Linked DNA regions of Saccharomyces cerevisiae S288C. The gene in region 2 interacts genetically with the main gene of each other region. Each region holds a gene or a part of one and is shown on either strand. Other genes may lie near its edges. The genes, in order: HMO1, FPR1, UBP14 and TOM1.

Region 1 (5,142 bases), on a different chromosome or scaffold from region 2:
AAGAAGAAGTGGATGACGAAGTTGTTAACGATATGTTTGGTGGTAAAGATCACGTTTCTTTAATTTTCATGGGTCATGTTGATGCCGGTAAATCTACTATGGGTGGTAATCTACTATACTTGACTGGCTCTGTGGATAAGAGAACTATTGAGAAATATGAAAGAGAAGCCAAGGATGCAGGCAGACAAGGTTGGTACTTGTCATGGGTCATGGATACCAACAAAGAAGAAAGAAATGATGGTAAGACTATCGAAGTTGGTAAGGCCTACTTTGAAACTGAAAAAAGGCGTTATACCATATTGGATGCTCCTGGTCATAAAATGTACGTTTCCGAGATGATCGGTGGTGCTTCTCAAGCTGATGTTGGTGTTTTGGTCATTTCCGCCAGAAAGGGTGAGTACGAAACCGGTTTTGAGAGAGGTGGTCAAACTCGTGAACACGCCCTATTGGCCAAGACCCAAGGTGTTAATAAGATGGTTGTCGTCGTAAATAAGATGGATGACCCAACCGTTAACTGGTCTAAGGAACGTTACGACCAATGTGTGAGTAATGTCAGCAATTTCTTGAGAGCAATTGGTTACAACATTAAGACAGACGTTGTATTTATGCCAGTATCCGGCTACAGTGGTGCAAATTTGAAAGATCACGTAGATCCAAAAGAATGCCCATGGTACACCGGCCCAACTCTGTTAGAATATCTGGATACAATGAACCACGTCGACCGTCACATCAATGCTCCATTCATGTTGCCTATTGCCGCTAAGATGAAGGATCTAGGTACCATCGTTGAAGGTAAAATTGAATCCGGTCATATCAAAAAGGGTCAATCCACCCTACTGATGCCTAACAAAACCGCTGTGGAAATTCAAAATATTTACAACGAAACTGAAAATGAAGTTGATATGGCTATGTGTGGTGAGCAAGTTAAACTAAGAATCAAAGGTGTTGAAGAAGAAGACATTTCACCAGGTTTTGTACTAACATCGCCAAAGAACCCTATCAAGAGTGTTACCAAGTTTGTAGCTCAAATTGCTATTGTAGAATTAAAATCTATCATAGCAGCCGGTTTTTCATGTGTTATGCATGTTCATACAGCAATTGAAGAGGTACATATTGTTAAGTTATTGCACAAATTAGAAAAGGGTACCAACCGTAAGTCAAAGAAACCACCTGCTTTTGCTAAGAAGGGTATGAAGGTCATCGCTGTTTTAGAAACTGAAGCTCCAGTTTGTGTGGAAACTTACCAAGATTACCCTCAATTAGGTAGATTCACTTTGAGAGATCAAGGTACCACAATAGCAATTGGTAAAATTGTTAAAATTGCCGAGTAAATTTCTTGCAAACATAAGTAAATGCAAACACAATAATACCGATCATAAAGCATTTTCTTCTATATTAAAAAACAAGGTTTAATAAAGCTGTTATATATATATATATATATATAGACGTATAATTAGTTTAGTTCTTTTTGTACCATATACCATAAACAAGGTAAACTTCACCTCTCAATATATCTAGAATTTCATAAAAATATCTAGCAAGGTTTCAACTCCTTCAATCACGTTTTCATCATAACCCTTCCCCGGCGTTATTTCAGAATGTGCAAAATCTATTAGTGACATGGAACTCAAAGAACCAGTTGTTTTTTTGTCCTTTGGTCCTTCGCTGCTTCCCTCGGCATCATCATCATCATCATCATCATTATCATCATCGTCGTCATCATCGTCTATAAAATCATCTCGCATAAGTTTGTCAACATCATTTAGTAATTCCCATCGCTCCGGGTCTCCTTCGTAAATAAACAAAAGACTACTTGATATCATTCTAACTTCTTCTTCTAGCATAGTATTATAAAACAACTGCAATCTTTTCAAAAATGTTTTCTTCAGTTGATGCTTTCTCGCATCCGACAGATGAGGATTGTTAAAATAAAGTTCAATTGCATCTGAAACATTTTGATCGGTTCTTGAACGACCATACAATTTGTTTATAAAGATATAATCACTGTCTGCTTCTTCTTCGTAATATTCGAGCGAAAGCTGATTCAGCACAGAGGGATTTTTCTGTATTTTCATGCCACATATCCTGAAACCCAAAGATCCTGAAGTCGTCGTCTCACTGACTCTTTTCATTCTCTCTCTTTTTTCCAATGATGCCTTCGAATCATACAAAGTTTTGCCTAATTTTATATCAAGTATATTAGGTTTACTAAATCCATATAGTAGATTTTCTAAAACGAGGTATTGCTTGGACTTCTCAGACTTTACAGGTATTGAATCAAGATTATCAGTGGAATCACTTAACCGCTCATCTATCTTCAGAAGCGCAGCATCGCCACTTTGCTCGATTTTTGCCCCTTCATTCAAGACTCCAAGATACGTGGGCATCCAAGAGCACAAGGGAGCATCTCCATCAGCCGAAGACTTTCTTCGACTCACATCTCTCACTTGTATGGCTTTGTAGAATTCCAGTTCCTGCGGAAAGGCCGGTTTAAAGATGAGCAATCCATCACCGTCTGTTAGAGTACCGTCGTGGCCAGCAGCTTTATGCTCTAAAACCCTATAATTGTTTACCGTATCCATGTGAAAAAAATTTCTACTTAGGCACACGTATGCACATATCCATGTAAGCTACTAATGGAAATTGTTTAACTGATTACTGGTAAAAAAGGGATCTCCAATGGCTTTATCTTATTCCATTTTGTCCCACCATTTGTATACAGTATAAAGACATTTTGGTGAGATACTTAGTTACCCAGCCTACTTCTGAGAAATATTACCCGACTCGATTATCTACCAATTGGCTTCGAGAACGTGGTTTTTCACCATTTTTTTTCCCGCTTTTTTTTTTCATCCGACCGTTGTGGCGGAGAGAAGCTTCCGGAAGGGAATTCACTCAGATTCTCTCCAGTACCACGGGGGGCAACTCTGCCTGGAACACTCTCTTCCTTCAAGAACTTAGCAAGAAGTACCAATTAGTCCCAGCGGGCCCTCAGGGCTGGTCTACTGCCTTATACTCTAGGATGTACATCCTACCACACACAACAAGCCTGTCACACCATGACTACAGATCCTTCTGTCAAATTGAAGTCCGCCAAAGACTCCCTCGTCTCCTCCCTCTTCGAGTTATCAAAAGCTGCTAATCAGACAGCCTCCTCTATTGTTGATTTCTACAATGCCATCGGCGACGATGAAGAAGAGAAGATAGAGGCTTTCACCACTTTGACTGAGTCTTTGCAAACATTGACTTCTGGTGTAAACCACTTGCACGGCATCAGCTCGGAGCTGGTTAACCCTATTGATGATGATAAAGATGCTATTATCGCTGCTCCAGTCAAGGCTGTAAGAAGAAAGATCGAACGTGATCCAAATGCTCCAAAGAAGCCACTGACTGTTTTCTTTGCTTACTCTGCGTACGTTCGTCAAGAACTTCGTGAAGACAGACAAAAGGCTGGCTTGCCACCTTTATCCTCAACTGAGATTACTCAAGAAATCTCCAAGAAATGGAAGGAATTGAGTGATAACGAAAAAGAAAAATGGAAGCAGGCTTACAACGTCGAGTTGGAGAATTACCAAAGAGAGAAATCCAAATACTTAGAAGCAAAGAAAAACGGTACCCTACCACCAGCTTCCTTGGAAAACGGTCCAACTCATGCGCCGGTTCCAATTCCTTTCAGTTTACAGCACGCCGCTGAACCTCCTGTGGAAAAGAGACCTCACGATGATGATGGATCTTCGGAAAAGAAGAAGAAGAAGAAGAAGAAGGATAAGAAGAAGGACAAATCCAACTCTTCTATTTGATGGACGGACAAACTCGTTACTATTACTCTACTGTCTTTCTAAAATAAATATAATAATAAAAAAAGGAATAAAATATAGCAGCATGGGCTTGCTTTGCCCATAGTGTATGCACATATATATATATATATATGTATCTATCCCTCTCCTCTTGTAACAGTATATCTTCCTTTTCATTTTCGTTGTGTATATGTATGTATATAGTTCTAAATTTGCGATTATACCTTTTCAAACCTCTCAATGTTGTATTGTGCTAAAACTATGTACATTTTAGAGAAAAAGAAGGAAGCAAAACAAATACATAATATATACAGGGGGGCCGTTCTTTTTGTTTTTGAACATGTATTAAAGAGTGCTCAATAATTGATCTACAATATCAAATTTCTTCTTTGGTGCATCTTCAGGGCGTTTCCAGTGTTCAGGAAACTCATAATCCCGCTTCTTTTTACGTAAACTCTTAGCTATAGTATGCCTTGTGTCAAGGGGAACATCGCTAAAATCGTCCTCCGTCAAATCTTTTGACTCCGCTAACAGCCTTTGAAGAATATCATGCAAATAACGTGCATTTTGTGATGCATGCTCAAATTTGTCACTAGACATTTTAAAAATATCTGTAGTATGATCATAACGCGACCTGGCTAATATTCTGAACTTATGTAATGATTTTTCCTCCAGGCCCAATTCCTTGGTTTTAACGCTTAATACAACCTTCCTCGAATTGGGATGCTCTTCGCCAACATAACTAGTGTATCTATAAGTGACCGGATGACTTTCTGGAGATGGTCTCTTGTATTCCTGGCGATATTGAGCTAATAGCGGTAACTCATATGCGGCTAATCGATTATAGAACCTTTGTTCACGATGTTGGGCAACCAATTCCTGAGCTTGCGATGGCAATTCATCAAACATAAACGGTCTAAGACTGTTATCGCGATTCACGTTTCCACCTTTTATATCAATAGCGCCTTGTTCTCCTCTGTGATATAGCTTTTTAATATCGTTAACAGGTACATTTGAGTACTCAGAAGTGGTTAATAAGGCATTCAGTTCGTCTTTGTTAGGTTTATACTCTGAACCCAATCTAGCCATTCTCTCCCAATATAACTCTAAAATTCTTTGAGGAGGTAAACCCTTCCATTTTTCGGGATGCATATAGAGATCTGCTGAAAAAGCTGGTCCTTCTCTCACAGTTTTAGCTTCATTACCAGCATCACTGTTCAAACATCTAGACATTGTCAAAACCCTTTTCTGGGTGCTCCACAAATTACCCCGAGAGACTTTCCATAACCCCAATGGTACTTTCATCTTCCTAAGAATAGTATTTTAGTAGTGTCAAATGTTTCGG
Region 2 (4,665 bases):
TTCTAAGGATTCTTTTAATTCTTGCAACTCTAATTGCTTTGGAGGCAATTCGTCATCTTCCTTAGGAGGTAGTGGTTTCACGTTTTTGGCACCAGATAGCGGTAGAACATTTAATTCATCATCAACGACTAAACAGTTTGGATTTGAACCTAAAGAAAGTATGAATCTTTCGTTAAATCTTGCAACAACGTCACCATGAGCCTCAGTACGATAACGGGCGTGAACATCCATAGTCATGGTGTACAGTTGCTTTAACGATGACATTGATTTCAATAAAATAACCACAATACCACCACCTTCTACAGTTTCAATGGTTCTTGCTAAAAGATTTGGGGTTAATGCCTCGAAGTCCTGAAGAATACACATACCATAGGTATTACCCAATATTTTCTCACTCTCTTTGTAGTATACATATCTGATATTTTGGTTAGAGATAAAAGATTCAAAAGGGTCCATTTCATTCACTTCCCTTGTACCTCTTTTAATTTCTTTCTTAATTTTATTCTCTCTTTTTTTTCTGTGCGAAGTGAATCCTAGAAGCTTCTTCTTATAAGCCCATAAGACGGACTTGTTCATCTTAAGGTCAGCACTCATCATCAAATAATGTAAATTTGGGAGCTGGTTACGTGCCCTGTCCCCAACGATGACAAATATGGACCTTTGTTTGGTTTGAACACCATTCCTGATCAGTGACGGGATTCTTGAATCGATAGCTTTTTTGGCCATTTTCTCCTTGTTTTATAAGTCTCTTATAAGTCTTTGCAAGTTAAAAACTAAGAAATATAAAAGGTGACTTGGCTTATATACTCTATTGCGTACTTTATTTGAGATAAATACAGAATCTCCATGCATCTTCAGCACCTCATCTCATCTCATTGTATCTTGGCTCTTCATTTTTTTTTTTCAAAATTTTTCACACGATTCCGGGTAAACTATTACTTTTTACAACTAATTCAGATATACCTGGGAAGTTACAATGGAAAACATGCAATGTTCGGTCTGGCTTGTATCATTTGATTGGAAAAGCGAGCATCGGTTGATACTGAACACATCCACATGCGTAATCATTAAAAAAAATTTTTCAAATTGCGAACTCTGTGGATCGAACACAGGACCTCCAGATGACTTGACCGAAGTTTTTCTTCAGTCTGGCGCTCTCCCAACTGAGCTAAGTCCGCTTATTTTTCTGAAACCTTTTCCGCCTTTTTGTCGTCCCTAGGAATTACTTTTGATGCACTGCCAATCTGAGGGAAAAATGACGTTTAAACGCACGAGAATGTGCAATTAGATGTAAGTCCATCGAAGCCTAGAGAAAGCGGTTCCAACAAAAGACTGTGGGCTCTGTTATATCATCATGTCATCTACCAGTGATAATAATGCTAATAGTGCAAGAGAGAAAAAACCACTGAAATTCGTGTCAGAAGGAGTTGGTAATGTAGAGGCCCAGAGGATACGAGAGCAAGTGGAGCAAAAAAAATATGAAGCGGAATATAAAAGGAAAACCAGGAAGTCCCTGCGAGATCAGCTTAGGTCTAATGCTATTAGTAAACAAAAACAATATAACGGTTTGGTGAGAGACCGTGAAAGTTTTACTAGGTTGAGTAAAGAGGACCTGGAATTTTACCAGAAGAGCAAGAATGAGTTGCTAAAAAAGGAAAAAGAACTGAATAACTACTTAGACGTCAAGGCAATCAATTTTGAAAAGAAAAAAAAAGCATTACTAATGGAGAACGATTCTACTACTAATACAGAAAAATATTTAGAGACCGGCACTAGTTTGGGCAGTAAAACACAAATAAAGGGCGTAAAGACATCCAGCCCTAAACCAAAAATCAAGGTATCCATAAAAAAATTGGGTAGAAAACTGGAGAACTGATGTGATGGCCTACACACTTCGTCACAACTAGAGCTTTATGCCAAGATTAAACTTCAAGTTATATAAATTATGTAAACATTGGACATACAAAACTCGGAAACTCTTTTTCTATTCATCTTCCCTTCTCGTACGTGCCCACGGAAGCAATAAAAAGAACCGAAATAACCAACACCCGTAACGTCAAAGCATTCATGCTTAGAATGGAAACCATTTCGTGGAATGAAATGGCAAATTGATCACATTGATTGCTCGTTCCACTACCTGTGTCCGCAATTTTTTAATGGTCATCACAGCCCCTGCTGACTAAAGTTCCTCGGATCCGCTTACGGTTGTCGCGCGGTTCCGCCCCTGCGTACTCTTAGTACCTAGCATATGGGCTCCCTCCGTTGGATTGGCATCGATTAGTAAGGACAGATGTTAAGGATTTAAGACCGTTTTTAAGGTATTTCGGCAATGCTTCGATTTAAAAGGAGAGAGTTTTTTTTTTGCCGTTTTCTTCCTCTCACTTCTTGATTAGTACTGTAATTCTAGTTGAAAAAAAATCGTTAACTATACACAGCAAAAAGCAATATCATACTGCATATCAAGCATGTCCGCCTCGATTCCAGAAACCATGAAAGCCGTTGTCATTGAAAATGGCAAGGCTGTAGTCAAACAGGACATTCCAATTCCTGAATTAGAAGAAGGATTTGTTCTAATTAAGACTGTCGCCGTTGCCGGTAACCCTACCGATTGGAAACATATTGATTTCAAGATTGGTCCTCAAGGTGCCCTCTTAGGCTGTGATGCAGCCGGCCAAATCGTAAAGTTGGGCCCAAATGTTGATGCTGCACGCTTTGCCATTGGTGATTACATTTATGGGGTTATTCACGGTGCTTCAGTGAGGTTCCCCTCAAACGGTGCCTTTGCTGAGTACTCTGCCATTTCATCCGAGACTGCTTATAAACCAGCCAGAGAGTTTAGATTGTGCGGTAAAGACAAGCTACCAGAAGGCCCCGTAAAATCTTTAGAAGGGGCAGTATCCCTCCCAGTCTCATTGACCACGGCTGGTATGATCCTTACACATAGTTTTGGCTTGGACATGACATGGAAGCCCTCCAAAGCGCAAAGAGATCAACCCATCTTATTTTGGGGTGGTGCCACTGCTGTTGGCCAGATGCTTATTCAATTGGCAAAAAAACTAAACGGTTTCAGCAAGATCATCGTCGTTGCTTCTCGTAAACATGAAAAATTGTTGAAAGAGTACGGTGCAGATGAACTTTTTGACTACCACGATGCTGACGTTATCGAACAGATAAAAAAGAAGTACAACAACATTCCTTACTTGGTGGACTGTGTCTCCAACACAGAAACTATTCAACAGGTGTACAAATGTGCCGCTGATGACTTAGACGCTACGGTCGTTCAATTGACCGTTTTAACCGAAAAAGATATCAAGGAGGAAGACAGGAGGCAAAACGTCAGTATTGAAGGAACCCTTCTATATTTGATAGGAGGTAACGACGTCCCATTTGGCACGTTTACTTTGCCAGCAGACCCTGAATACAAGGAAGCCGCCATAAAATTTATTAAGTTCATCAATCCAAAAATCAATGATGGTGAAATCCACCACATCCCAGTGAAAGTTTACAAGAACGGGTTAGATGATATCCCACAGTTACTTGATGATATTAAGCACGGGAGGAATTCTGGCGAAAAGTTGGTTGCCGTCTTGAAATAAATAATCTATAGCTACTTATGTATATAGCGCTTGATCATTCTGTTTACCTCCACATTATAGTGCCGTTCAATTCCCCTCACCCGCCTTAGTCTTTTTCGGGCAAAAAAAATTGCCGGAAGAGAGACGTCGTTGAAAGAATTTGGTGGATAAACTCGTGAAAGCTTAAAGTAAGGCCTTTCACCTAAACTCGAGTATAAGCAAAAAATCAATCAAAACAAGTAATAATGTCTGAAGTAATTGAAGGTAACGTCAAAATTGACAGAATTTCCCCAGGTGATGGTGCCACCTTCCCAAAGACAGGTGACTTGGTTACCATTCATTACACCGGTACCTTGGAGAACGGCCAAAAATTCGATTCCTCCGTTGACAGGGGCTCTCCATTCCAATGTAACATCGGTGTCGGCCAAGTCATCAAGGGTTGGGATGTTGGTATTCCAAAGTTGTCTGTTGGTGAAAAAGCTAGGTTAACCATCCCTGGCCCATATGCTTATGGCCCACGTGGTTTCCCAGGTTTGATTCCACCAAACAGTACTTTGGTTTTCGACGTCGAATTGTTGAAGGTCAACTAAAAGCAAAGTACTATCAATTGAGCCGCCTTTCTGCTTTTTATTTATGTTTATGGTAAGTATCTGAGCCTTAATTGAAATAGATATATAATTACAAAAGATTAGACAAGGAGAAGCATACGTATATTCTATTTCTTCATTAAGGTTATTTTATTCTATATCTGCTACACTACATTAAATACAGATACCTCTATGGAACGGATGAGCGTTTATTATCGCGATCTATATATGAGCAGTGATTATTTTTTATTTCGTAGCCTGCTGGAAACTCTTGTGGCAGGAGGGCTATTTTTACGAGAGCCTGCCTTCCGCCTTTTCCTTTTCGGCGAGGTTTCATTGCTAGTATTACCTGTGGATGATGAATGCCTAGTTCTCTTTGCTAATGGTTCATTTTTGTCCTTAGAATCCTTTTTGGTATCATCCTGTTGATCATCTCCTTTTTTGTTTTCCGTTTTTTTCTTTAAGTTGCCCCCTTCTGATTCAATTTGTTTTCCTTTACCTTC
Region 3 (6,543 bases), on a different chromosome or scaffold from region 2:
CACTGAATTTGTTGGATTTAGCGCCAGTGCAGTTAATATACTTTCCAGATTTTCTTTCGTCTCTGCTAACTCCTTTTCCTTTGCATGCAGTGACGATGACAGTTTTCTGAATATCACTTCCAAGGAAGCTGGCAATTCGAAAGTTTGGGGTATATGGCAGTTTTCCTTCTCATACTTATGCTCATTCTGCTTGTAGTTTAGCCCCTCGTTGAAAATTTTCTTTAGCCTTTGAATTTCGTTCTCGAGTGATTCGATTTGACTTTCCTTTATTTGTAGTTCTACTTCCAATGCTTCCATTCTGTCATCTTTATTTGAATTCATCTCATTGCTGTTGACATTATTCATTGAGAGCGCTGTCACATGATTAAAAGGAACAAATGAATTCTTGAATGCCGTACTATTGATTGAGGTTTTAGCGGTCATATTAGACATTGATGACATCGAGTCATTAGGATTCCCATTAGTATCCTTGTTATTTGTCATATTATTCATTGGATCCAGCCAATAATCATTAGCAGTTGCCCCATTCATGATATTGTTATGATTGAGAGTATTTCTCATAGATGCTTGTGGTACATTCTGGTAATTATAGGTATTCATTGATGGGGGCATGTTGAAATTTGTTGTACTGTTCAAGCTATGTTGACCCGTTAAGGGACTAGCCGACGAACCTTGAGGAAGCATGGAATTATTCATTTTACTCGCCTGACCTAAGGTGTTCATTAATCCCGGCCTGGCATCGTTTCTTTCACCAGATTCGTATAGGGCTTGTTGCTGTGACTGTTGGTGGGGATGAAATGCCAAATTGTTAAAGGACGTTTCCAACGAATGTTGGGGATCATAATCATAAGCCATGTAATTCATTTTTACAACAGTATTCCAAACGAGCCGTGTATGCAAAAAGAATGAGGTCAAATCAAAAGATCAAGTACCAAGCCAGCTGATTCTCTTCTTACTAAGTTTGACTATCGTTTACATTTCTTGCTTGTTGTTTCATCAAACAATGTACTCTTTTCTTGTTTTAAATGATTTTTTAGCGGCGAAGGTAACAGCAGCAAAAAAAAAAAAGAAAAAACATTGCAAAATAGCTAATGGAAATGGATTTATTACTGAAATATGTAGAAATATTTAACTCGATAGATTTGATCATACACATATAATGCAAAATATATATATATATATATATATATATATATATATATATATGTGTGTGTGTGTGTGTGTGTGTGTGTAAACGTTCTTTTAGCATCTTGTATAGAAATAAATATAACCATTTTTTTTCATATCTTCAATGCTGTCGGCAGCAACTAGTTTCTCATCGTTATAAAGAACCCACTTCCATTTGTCTGCCACTAGTTTACGAATAAAAACAACATAGTGACCAGAATGGACAGAATTTCCCTTATGACAAATAACTGCAGTTAAAGCGTACGGTTTAGCGGTCGAATATCCAAGATCCTTTTTTTGTTGCTGTTCTTCATTTGGCACTTCAGGTTCGGGAAATGTTCCATCATCATCCATGTTGTTAAATACCCATTCAACACTACGATTAACATCTCCGTTGTTGAGTATCAAGGCTTTACGACATAAGTTGGGATTTAGTCCCATGGATAACATTGAAGTCAATGATACCTCATCCACTTCTCTCTTATCTTTCTTGGGGACATTAGGAGGCGGGACAAAGGGATCATTTAAATCAGGGTCATCCATATGCTGGAATAGCCAATTCATAGCGCTCTCAGCGTCTTGGTTTCCGGTGTTAAATAGGGCGCGCACGCTAGCATTTTGAGTAAAGCCCATTTCAATTAATTGAGAAATACTGCATTGGTTTGGCGTAAAAGAGCTACGGTTTTCGTCCTCATCAGGCAATAAGTTTTCAGTTTGAGGATCAAATCCTTGTGATAAATAAGACGAAACATCTAGCATATCATCCCTGTCTATTAAACCTGGTAAAGAAAGCTCATTACTTGTCTTAACAGGAATCCAGTTCTGTAATCTAATCCTTATTGGGTTCAAAATAAGTGTTTGAGGAAGAGATTTGAAACCAGGTTTTTTATTTGCGGTAACCTTTTCCTTACAATTAGCACATTTAAATTCAATCGTCTGCCCTTCAAAATACGCCTTGATTCTCTCTAACATATCTTGAGGTTCATCATTCTCCTCTAAGGGAATCTGTATAGCCTCTGTGGGTTCATAAGAATATTTAACCTTCCCGCAAATGTTACATTGGAGCCTATCCTCCATCATAAATCTAACTAAATCGTTGGGATTTGGAATACCTGAAGAACTACTTGAAAAAAATTTCTTGTCTAACAAGTCTAAAAGGAAGGTTAGAAATTCCATCGCATCCTGTTGTCTATTGGAACTGAATTCCTGATGATTTTGCCCAATGCATTTCTTGAAAGTAGTAGGTTTGATACCATTTGGATATAGTTCGGGTTCACATTTCATGGCATTGAGTAGCTTGATCCATTGGCACTTTAAATTATTGTCCGGATATACAACATCCAGTGGAAATTTACTTCCTAGAAAATCCAAGGACCAATTCGGGACGCCACCATTCACCAAGCTTTGTATAACCGAATTTAAGTAACAGGAATTACCCAAATTGATCAGACCACAGCCATAATTCTTACTAGCGGATAATTTTTCAAATTCTTTACCGCTAGAATCGACCATTCTAAATTGCCAATTTTCGTTCTGTTCCACTTGTAATTGAACTAGAGTCTTTTCATCCGCAATCTTTTCTTGTATGTTAATTCCGTATATTTGTAGTGCACTGCCTAAATTAACATTATCTGGAAATCTAGTTTCGTCGTCACATGCGTAACAATACAGATCATAGGTTGAAGAGCTTAAAGACCCTAATTTGATAGCTAATGGGTGATTATTATTACTCCGATAATGATCCAAAGCATGCGAGTGACCATCAATCCCGATTTGTTCCCTGCCACATCCGATATTACCACAATGTAGGCATAACCAGAGATTTTGAGTCAAATCACAGGAAGAGCATTGGTTTAAATTCACAGTATTTTCGGGCTTAGATGGAATTTGAAAGTTTTCTGTATGTGGACAGGTGCTGATTTCTAACACCCAGGAGTTCTTCTTATCCTCGAAGTCTTGTGACTTCGCCTTTAATATCTTTTCAATCTTCTCCAAGGCCGTAGAAGAAATGTCAGAGTCTGTCGACTTCGAAAGTACGGTCCTGGGAACATTTTCACCATTGAACCTTTGTAAACTCCAAATAGTGTTGTGGGTGTCGTCTTCTGACGTCTCAATTACCTGTAGCTTTATTTTTTTGTTGTTATTATTTTCTTCTACATTTTCTTGCTTAGGTTTCTCCACTTTAGCAATAGTTAAATAATTGGAATGTATGGTATCGCAAGCATATTCTGTGACTCGGATATGGAGTGGAACATGTCTGTTGCACGTAGCTTGGAAACAGTTTAAGCATATATTCAATGAATGTTTAGGTGATGCATTGAGGGCCAATGGTTCATTATAAGGGGATTCAAAGCAATAAATACACTCATCTTTTGAAACGACTGCAGGAACGTTAACGTTTTCTAGTACTGCTTCTGCCATTTCTGAATGTGAGAAAGACTTCGGGCTCTCTTTTTGGATGAATTTACCTGTCATCTCTACTGCCATTGCAAGTCGCTTTTCACTGTGATTTCATCAAGTGATAAATTTGATCTCATTCCAAACGATGTCATTTTTCAAAGGCACATCAACTGTTATAAATTATATCCTATAGCCACAAGCAATTATTAGTTTATGTATTGTGTGTATATTTATGTAACTCTATCCTCCATGATATCCTCCTAAATTTTCTGTCCCCTTGCCTCCAGCTTATACTATTATTAACCGAATAAGGATATAAATAATCATTCAAAGGAAGCAATACTTTAGTATACCGAAGAAACTCAAACTGAAAATTGTGAGAAAAAAAACATGGAGGAAGAATGAATCAAAAGAGGCCATTAAATAAAAGGGTAAATGTATGTAGTAGGTCCAATAAAGCTTTTCCACCACTTCTTCAATAGTATTTAGTATGCCTTCTGATTTCCCATTACGTCTTTTAGCTTCCTTAGTGGTGGGTATGTACACCATCGAGCTTTTATGTTGTGTCATTTCTTCCCCTTATGATATGTTCCACCTTTGTTCTTCCGGTTTCTACACTCTTTATCTCTAGTACTTTTAAAATGGTGTCATTTCTGTCAAATTGCGAGCACTATTACTCTTCACTTAACCGCTTCTCGTTAAGCGCGTCAGGAGTAAACGTCATCTCGCACGATATGCTTAATGCATATGATTTGAGTTACTATTGTTCTATCAATTTAGTTTTTGAGGAAGATATACGGATTGTCTGCGCCTCTATATGTAACAATGTATGTATATGATTTTATATGTGCTCTATTTATCGAATCATTTCTCGCTTCTAAAGACTGAGAAAAAAGATCTCCTTTTCCCGTTACTGCCACCACTACTGGATGCACTACTTGCCATCGCTTCACGACGGACCCTTTCCAAATCAAGCGATTGACGGGCCCTAGCGAAGGATTTTCTCATCTCTGATGGAGTTGAGGTGCTAATAGTAATGCTGCTATTGCTATCCTTATCCTTCGAATGCCGGTATCTTTCCAAATCGTGCCTTTGCTTGGAACCAGTCCTGTGTGTTTCATGCTTGCCATTTGACCGGGTTGACAGTTCGTGACCAGTACTGTGGCGCTTATTCTCAGTTATTGCGGTGGAAGCATGAGGTGAAACTCTATACGAGTGATGTGAATTTGGTGCTGGCGAGTCGTTTTTATTTCTATGCTCTTGAGTTAACGTTGGTGAAGACAGATTTACTTCCTGGAAATTCAGATCCAATGACTGCCGCGGTTGCCTTGTTGATACGCTGCTGAAGTCCTTGCTTTTGAATTGATTAGACTTACTAGCATCACTTGATCTTGCCTGGTCTTTATGACCTCTTTCATTATGGAGTGGTCTTCTTTCAGCTGTTTTTCCTCTCCTTGCATCATCCAAATCAATATCAATGCTTTCGCTGGAGACCATACTATCTCCCAATTCGTCTGTTGAATAATTGTTCCTCTTACTGGAACCTTTGCGTCCAGAAAGCTTAGCTTGTTGAATTGATGCAGACGATGAAGACGATGAAAAGGAGGAGACAGCAGCACCAGTATCATCTCTTGATAAGTCCATCTCATTCAAACTTAAATTTAAAACGCCATTTCGATTATTGTTCGAGCCTTTGATAGTTCCTGAACCGCCGGCATCTTCGATACCGCCAGTTTGAGGCTCATTTGTATCTTGGAAAGATTGCTTTCCTGCATCTTCTTTTAATGGAGATAGTTCAATTAAGAGAGCTTCATTTTTAGAGGATGAGTGCATTGGTTCATTTGCAGAATTTCCTGCAAGAATTGGAGGTTCACCCCCCTGAGCATTTCTCATATCTTCTGTGGTATGATTTGTTCTATCAGAGACGTAAGTACCATTATTATTTGCATTTTGAATTTGCATTTGCTGTTGGACTTGCAGTTGTTGCTGAACTTGCATCTGCTGCTTGGCTTGCATCTGTTGCTTTGCCTGCATCTGTTGTGCCTGCAATTGCTGGGCTTGTATCTGTTGCGCTTGCTGCTGATTCATGGAAATAACAGGTCTCACCATTGGAATTGCTGGGGAATTTTGACTTGGGAGATATCCTGACTGGGAGTTCGTGGCGTAATTTTGAGAAATATTCTGAAAGTTGACTCTTCTATTACCACTATCTCCAGCAATAGTTCCACCCAACTGCATAGGTTTATTGGACCGATCCCTCCCAGTGTAGAAATTTCTTTGGCTATAATTAGCAGGTCCTTTGGGTTGGTCCTGTTGTTGCTGCTGTTGTTCAACTCTAGATTGATACTGAGATTCATCTGGAAAGGTATTCCCTTGTGTACCTGTTTGATTTTGAGCTTGCTGATATCTCTGGCCTTGCTGTTGTTCTTCCAGGAAAAAGTTACTTGCGTCATTGCTCAATTCATTCGTAGAATGGTATGCAACATTCATTTTTGGAAAGGGATTATTCGATTTATGTTGTTTCATCTTATTAATACCAGCAGTTTTCTCGTTCGCCAAGGCTTCGTCTGACCCGATCGTTGCTGCACCATATGATGTGCTCTTCATTGATCTGCCACCTGAAGAATAAGAGCTTGTGCTCTTTTGCCTCTGTGGTAGTGATTGGGTATTCAAACGAGGACTTTGTTCAGAAATAGTCGGATCACTTGATTGTTTGACCAATTCTTTGTCCAAATAAGTATCTAATTCGCTCACGCTTGGATAATATAACTCTCCAGGAGTTTTATTTTCAAAAATTGATTTGTCCTCTATACCTGGAGACTGGATTGTATTGATTTCTTGAGGATTATTGGCTGTACCAGAACTGTTAGCATTCGATGTTGTTCTTGACGATTTATCTTCGGACAGGGTAGACTTCCTCTGATCGGATTGACTTTCTTTCTCTTCTTCAAGTTCTTGGCCGACATTTTGAGATGG
Region 4 (6,632 bases), on a different chromosome or scaffold from region 2:
CCTATTGCAGGTGATCCTGATGTAGACTTAAACCCTGTTACAGAAGAAATGTTCTCTTCATGGGCATTGTTCATTATGTTGCTCCTATTGATCTCTGCATTGTGGTCTAGTTACTATTTAACTCAGAAACGAATTAGGGCAGTGCATGAAACTGTGCTTTCTATTTTTTATGGTATGGTTATTGGCTTGATAATAAGGATGTCCCCCGGGCATTATATTCAAGATACGGTTACTTTTAATTCATCCTACTTTTTTAATGTTCTATTGCCGCCAATTATTTTAAATAGTGGGTACGAGTTGAATCAAGTGAACTTTTTCAATAATATGTTATCTATCTTAATTTTCGCCATACCGGGCACCTTCATATCTGCTGTGGTTATTGGAATCATATTGTATATCTGGACCTTTTTAGGACTAGAGAGTATTGACATTTCATTCGCAGATGCAATGTCTGTTGGTGCTACATTATCTGCTACCGACCCTGTTACAATTCTTTCAATTTTCAATGCGTATAAAGTGGATCCTAAGCTATATACCATCATTTTTGGAGAATCACTGTTAAATGATGCCATCTCTATTGTTATGTTTGAAACCTGTCAAAAATTTCATGGTCAACCTGCAACATTTTCGTCGGTTTTTGAAGGGGCAGGCCTCTTTTTGATGACTTTCTCCGTTTCGTTGTTGATAGGCGTTCTTATAGGAATTCTTGTTGCTCTTCTGTTGAAACACACTCACATAAGGCGCTATCCTCAAATTGAGAGTTGTTTGATCTTGTTGATTGCTTATGAATCCTATTTTTTCTCCAACGGTTGCCATATGTCCGGTATCGTCTCCTTGTTATTTTGCGGAATTACTTTAAAACATTACGCCTATTATAACATGTCAAGAAGATCACAGATCACCATTAAGTATATTTTCCAACTATTGGCAAGATTATCAGAGAATTTCATCTTTATCTATCTAGGTTTAGAACTTTTTACTGAAGTAGAACTAGTCTATAAGCCACTGCTAATTATTGTGGCAGCTATTTCTATATGTGTTGCTCGTTGGTGTGCTGTGTTCCCATTGTCGCAATTTGTTAACTGGATATATAGAGTAAAGACAATCAGATCTATGAGCGGCATAACCGGAGAAAATATTTCTGTTCCCGATGAAATACCCTACAATTACCAAATGATGACATTTTGGGCAGGTTTACGTGGTGCTGTTGGTGTCGCCTTGGCGTTGGGAATTCAAGGTGAGTATAAGTTCACTTTATTGGCAACGGTCCTTGTTGTTGTTGTTTTAACAGTTATCATTTTTGGGGGCACTACTGCAGGAATGTTAGAAGTTTTAAATATTAAGACTGGTTGCATAAGTGAAGAAGATACATCTGATGACGAGTTTGATATAGAGGCTCCAAGGGCGATAAATTTATTGAACGGTAGTTCTATTCAGACAGATTTGGGCCCATATTCTGACAACAATTCTCCAGATATTTCAATTGACCAATTCGCGGTCAGCAGTAACAAGAATCTCCCCAATAACATATCCACAACTGGTGGTAATACTTTTGGAGGCCTTAATGAAACTGAGAATACTAGCCCTAACCCGGCAAGGTCTTCTATGGATAAGCGTAATTTGAGAGATAAACTGGGAACAATCTTTAATTCCGACTCACAATGGTTTCAAAATTTTGATGAACAGGTATTGAAGCCAGTATTCTTGGACAACGTTTCTCCATCCTTACAAGATTCGGCTACGCAATCACCTGCAGATTTCTCTTCCCAAAACCACTAGACTTTAAAGTGTATGGTTTCCTTGTTTCTAATATAAATATATTAATTAAGTCTTTATACATTCTCTCTTACTCAACGCCGAAGGAATACCCTTCTACACTTTATTCATTTTAAATCATGTACTGTTATATACACGCTAGTAGGATTGATCTTATTTAATCATATTTCGCACGTTACCCGACTGCTTTCAGTTTTGCCGCTTTGTGATAATGAGGAATTTCAGCTAGCTTTTAATGAGCCGATACTAAATCACCATGATTTTGGGAGAGGAAAAGAAGAAAAGGTAAAACAACGAATATTTTTCAAATACCTTAGTTACTGAATATCCATAACTACTCGTATAATTGGTGAGAAAATAGTGCATATTTAGTTTACTTTTTGCCTTTGATTGAAAATATATATTCATGGTGCTTTTTACTCGGTGTGAAAAGGCAAGAAAGGAGAAACTCGCCGCTGGTTATAAGCCCTTAGTTGATTATTTGATTGATTGTGATACTCCCACATTTTTAGAAAGAATTGAGGCAATCCAAGAGTGGGACCGATCCAGAGATGATCTTTATGTTTGGATTCCCATTCTAGACAGAATGGACGGGCTGTTGTTAAAAGTGGCAGAGAAATATAAATACAAGCAAGACCCCAAGAAGGAGTGTGAAGTCAAATTGGTGGAAATGGAAGCGCATGATGTTGATTATTGTTTGAAAATGCTAAAGTTTACTCGTCGACTACTTCTAAATACAGAAAACAGGTTTGTTTATTCATCTGGAGATGTTTTAATGTATCTACTGAATTGTCCGAATTTTACAATAAAACTAGCGGTCATGCGAATTTTAGCCATTTTAGGGGAAAGGTTTGTGATTGCGAGAGAAAAAATAGTTGCACATAACATATTTGGAGATCACAACCTCAGGAAAAAAACTCTCAAACTAGCTTTATCTCTGTCATCTTCCGTCATGGATGAAGACGGAGAGCACTTTTCTCTTGTCGATCTATATTTTGATAAGAAAAAAGTGCCTCAAAAATGGAGAAAGTTGAGATTTACACATTATACTTCAAACGACTTTAAAAAGTCAAGCCAGCAAAAAAATAACATTAATGAAACCCAAACTTCCATTAAGAAGGTAACTATGACGACCCAAGAACTGTGTGAACACTCACTACAGCAAATATTTGATAAGGGTATGGCCCTTTTACCCGCAGAAAGTTGGTTTGATTTCTCAATAAAAGCTTCGGTGGCGAAGGCCTTCAGTGATGATTCAGGTGAAAATATAGATTTGAGAAATATAATTATTGAAACAAAACTGAATGCTATTGCATTTGTTAACACCATTTTCTCGCCTCCTCAAGTAAGCTCGAAGTTATTTGAATTAGATCCGTATGCTTTTAATAGTCTAACTGATTTGATATCGTTGTCTGAAACCAAAATACCAAAAGAGCTAAGAACGGATGCTTTATTCACATTGGAATGTATATCCTTGAAGCATGTCTGGTGCTCAGACATTATCAGAAATCTCGGTGGTAACATATCGCATGGTCTGTTGTTTCAGATTCTCCGTTACATTGCCAAGACATTGAGAGAAGCGACAGACGAAATCGATGAAGAATATAATGTGAGGTTCTTTTACTTGATATCAAATTTAGCTGACGTTAAGCCTTTGCATGAATCTCTTTTCGCCGCGGGTTTAATACCTACTTTATTGGAAATTGTATCTATAAGAAATTGCCCATATAAGCGTACCCTCGCATCTGCTACCCATCTCCTAGAAACATTTATAGATAACAGTGAAACTACCACTGAATTTATCGAAAATGATGGGTTTACTATGCTGATCACTTCAGTCGCCAATGAGATTGATTTCACGCTTGCACATCCAGAGACGTGGCAACCGCCAAAATATTCAGTGGTTTATTATTCAATTTCTTTTAGGGAGTTGGCATATATTAGAAGTTTATTGAAACTCGTTCTCAAATTATTAAGCACAGACTCAGGGGATAGAATTAGAAATTTAATAGATTCGCCGATACTTGTTTCATTAAAGAAAATCCTAGAAAATAAACTTGTATTCGGTTTAACATTAATAACTTACACTCTGGATGTAGTTCAGAAAGTAATAAATAGTGAGCCTACTATTTATCCTGTTCTGGTTGAAGCAGGACTTATTCCATATGTTATCGATAATTTTCCAAAGTTAATTGGGCCTTCCGCCGAATTATTAAGTTTACTTCCAGATGTCGTTTCTGCCATATGCTTGAATCCAGAAGGGCTGAAGCAAGTTAAAGAAAAGGGTCTCATAAACAATTTGTTTGATTTCTTACTCGATGCTGACCACGCGCGTATATTAACAGGTGGAGATCGTTCTACGGAATATGGTACTGACATTGATGAATTAGCAAGACATTATCCAGACTTAAAGGCAAATATCGTGGAGGCTTTGTGTAACGTCATCAGAAAAATGCCAAGTACCTTTAGAAATGAAAGAGAGTTTCTTTTTACTTCACCAAAAGATCAAAAGTACTTTTTTCACAGAAAAAATGAGGAAATATTGACAGATAAAGAGGAACATGAACCTGCATACTGGGAGCTATTAGATAAGGGAACTATGCTGGACACATTTACCAGTGTTTTGTTTGGTATGTCTTTAGGAAATGGTTCTTTTTCACAGGTGCCACAACATCTGGAAGCGAGAGATTTTCTGGCAATAATATTTATGGAAAATCCTCCTTATGAATACTTTACCTCCGTGGCAATCTCAAATGTTACTGAGGTCCTCCAGTATCTGGATGAAAAATACGAAGACTACGCATTCATGGATGTTATGAAAGTATTGAACGATCAATTGGAGAACCTGAATGATTTTTTGAATAGTCCAAATGATAGAAGTTTCTTTTTAGAAAGAGATGGGGAAAACTCGGTGCGTTCATGCCATTCAAAACTTTGTCGACTTGCCGCTATTTTGAACATTGTTACGAATGTATACATTGACCTCACTACCTTATCTTGTAAGAGAATCATGCAGATCTATTCTTATTTTGACAAAAGAGGATTTTCTTTAATTAAAAACTTAAAGTTGCTATTCCAGAAATGTGCGTTGGAGGAAATGTACATACGCCAACATATGCCAGATTCTGTTATTACAGAAACAATGCCGTTGCCTATAGTGGATGTTTCCGGAGATGGACCACCACTTCAAATTTATATCGATGACCCAAAAAAGGGTGATCAAAAGGGGAAAATTACCAGCGTAAAAACGAGAAATACTCTTCAAATGCGAACAATACTGTATACATTACAATCAAATACTGCAATTCTATTTCGCTGCTTTTTAAGGTTAAGCCACTCTAGGAATATGGATCTAGAGCATAAAGATTTGACGACAGAAGTTCATATATTTGAGAACGTTGTTGAAAATGTTATTGAAATGTTGAAGGCCACCGAACTCGAAGGTCATCTACCGTATATTCTCGTTTTATTAAACTTCAACACCTTTGTGTTTACTATTCCAAAGGCTTCCCCTAATTCCACTGAAATATTACAAACAATACCGGCTTATATTTTCTATCAAAAGGGGGGCTATTTACTTTATTTGCACATTATAAGGGATCTCTTTACGAGAATGACAAAAATAAAAGATTTATCCTCACTTGATAACATAAACTACATAGATGAGTCCAACGGTATCCTAACCTTAAGCTGTTTAATTAATGCTCTCACCTTTTACAACAAATCAATGCAAACTGAAACCATGGAGAATGTCCAAAGTATTGGTAAGTATTACGTTTCAATAGATGACGATTATAATATTATGAAAGCTTTAACAGTTCCTATTAAGGTAATGGCTCTCGCAATGATTTTAGATTTGGATAAATCGGATAGCCTCTTCAAGACACAGTCCCGTAATGTGCCTTACTCAGTTTTCAAGCAACTTCTTAGTATGCTCAAAAATATATTCACTAATGTGAACATCTATACCAAGGAATTATATGAATTGCATTGGGACCTAATATTCCCACCAATTAAAAAAATTAGCTTGTTTGAGCAAGTCGGCATTCCCGGTGATGTTGCGGCAAACTATTTAACAGATACTGGTGATGATCTTCCTGCAGATAACAGTATTGGCCTGTTTTCGCCTGAACAATGGGAAAAATATAAAAAATTAATCGGTGAAGATAAATCCATCTACTATCCACAACCAATGCAAGCTCAGTATTACAAAGGATGTTCCTCAAAAGAATTAGATGAGCTGAGAGATACCTTTTTCAATGACGGTTTACCATCTAGGATCTTCACTGTACTCCCTTTCTATCCTAAACTTGTAAACGCGTTTGCAAAAACTTTGCTACAAATTTTTACGAAATACGATGAACCCACTGAAGTGTTTGCTGGTAGAATCTTAGATCGAATTTTAGAGACAGATCTAGATGACCCTGCTACTTTATCTTCCTTAATCCATTTATTTGGTATATTCCTGAACGAGAAATATATTTATCAAAAGGCTTCGCATTTAATGCAAAGGTTCATTGAATATCTTGAGAAGTCTCTGAAGCCAGAACATGTTAATACGCCTTGGTTTTCGAAAGCTCTTTACGTTTACGAAATTATACTGGCGAAATCTGAGCTTCCACACCTCGAAGAGCTTTCCAAGGATGTTCTTCTGAGATATCCATTGCTTTCCATGGCGAAAGTCTTTCGCATACCAGACCCTATGAAGCAGAAATTATTTGACATACTGATCAGAGTTTCTGATATTTCCAATTTTTATTCTGCACTGGCAACATCACGCATACTTATTTTCTACTCTAGGGATGAGTTGTATGCTAACAACATAGCTAGATCGGGAATATTATCTAGATTGTTGA

The links.
Region 1: mutations in FPR1 (region 2) and HMO1 are lethal when combined (synthetic lethality), as found in Saccharomyces cerevisiae (5 studies listed by BioGRID, with this or other methods).
Region 3: mutations in FPR1 (region 2) and UBP14 together harm fitness more than expected from each alone (negative genetic interaction), as found in Saccharomyces cerevisiae (2 studies listed by BioGRID).
Region 4: mutations in FPR1 (region 2) and TOM1 together harm fitness more than expected from each alone (negative genetic interaction), as found in Saccharomyces cerevisiae (2 studies listed by BioGRID).

The regions. Positions count from the first base shown.
Region 1 is NC_001136.10:809,051-814,192, forward strand, and holds HMO1 (Hmo1p), read left to right. Parts: upstream 1-3,059; coding exon 3,060-3,800; downstream 3,801-5,142. Other genes in the region: SUP35 (translation termination factor GTPase eRF3), read left to right, coding at 1-1,331; ARG82 (inositol polyphosphate multikinase), read right to left, coding at 1,515-2,582; mitochondrial 37S ribosomal protein mS35 RSM24, read right to left, coding at 4,143-5,102. UniProt on the Saccharomyces cerevisiae protein: DNA-binding protein that is probably part of the rDNA transcription apparatus. Acts synergetically with the RPA49 subunit of RNA polymerase I during rDNA transcription. May participate in mutagenesis control.
Region 2 is NC_001146.8:371,382-376,046, reverse strand, and holds FPR1 (peptidylprolyl isomerase FPR1), read left to right. Parts: upstream 1-3,820; coding exon 3,821-4,165; downstream 4,166-4,665. Other genes in the region: ribosome biosynthesis protein KRE33, read right to left, coding at 1-726; FYV6 (Fyv6p), read left to right, coding at 1,355-1,876; YNL134C (uncharacterized protein), read left to right, coding at 2,466-3,596; EAF7 (Eaf7p), read right to left, coding at 4,402-4,665. UniProt on the Saccharomyces cerevisiae protein: PPIases accelerate the folding of proteins. It catalyzes the cis-trans isomerization of proline imidic peptide bonds in oligopeptides.
Region 3 is NC_001134.8:352,430-358,972, forward strand, and holds UBP14 (ubiquitin-specific protease UBP14), read right to left. Parts: upstream 3,589-6,543; coding exon 1,243-3,588; downstream 1-1,242. Other genes in the region: MUM2 (Mum2p), read right to left, coding at 1-864; TSC3 (Tsc3p), read right to left, coding at 3,895-4,137; serine/threonine protein kinase AKL1, read right to left, coding at 4,432-6,543. UniProt on the Saccharomyces cerevisiae protein: Required for the adaptation to the presence of glucose in the growth medium; mediates the degradation of enzymes involved in gluconeogenesis when cells are shifted to glucose-containing medium.
Region 4 is NC_001136.10:1,367,608-1,374,239, forward strand, and holds the start of TOM1 (E3 ubiquitin-protein ligase TOM1), read left to right. Parts: upstream 1-2,182; coding exon 2,183-6,632. Other genes in the region: bifunctional K:H/Na:H antiporter NHX1, read left to right, coding at 1-1,779. UniProt on the Saccharomyces cerevisiae protein: Probable ubiquitin ligase protein involved in many cellular processes, such as transcription regulation, maintenance of nuclear structure, cell cycle, mRNA export and rRNA maturation.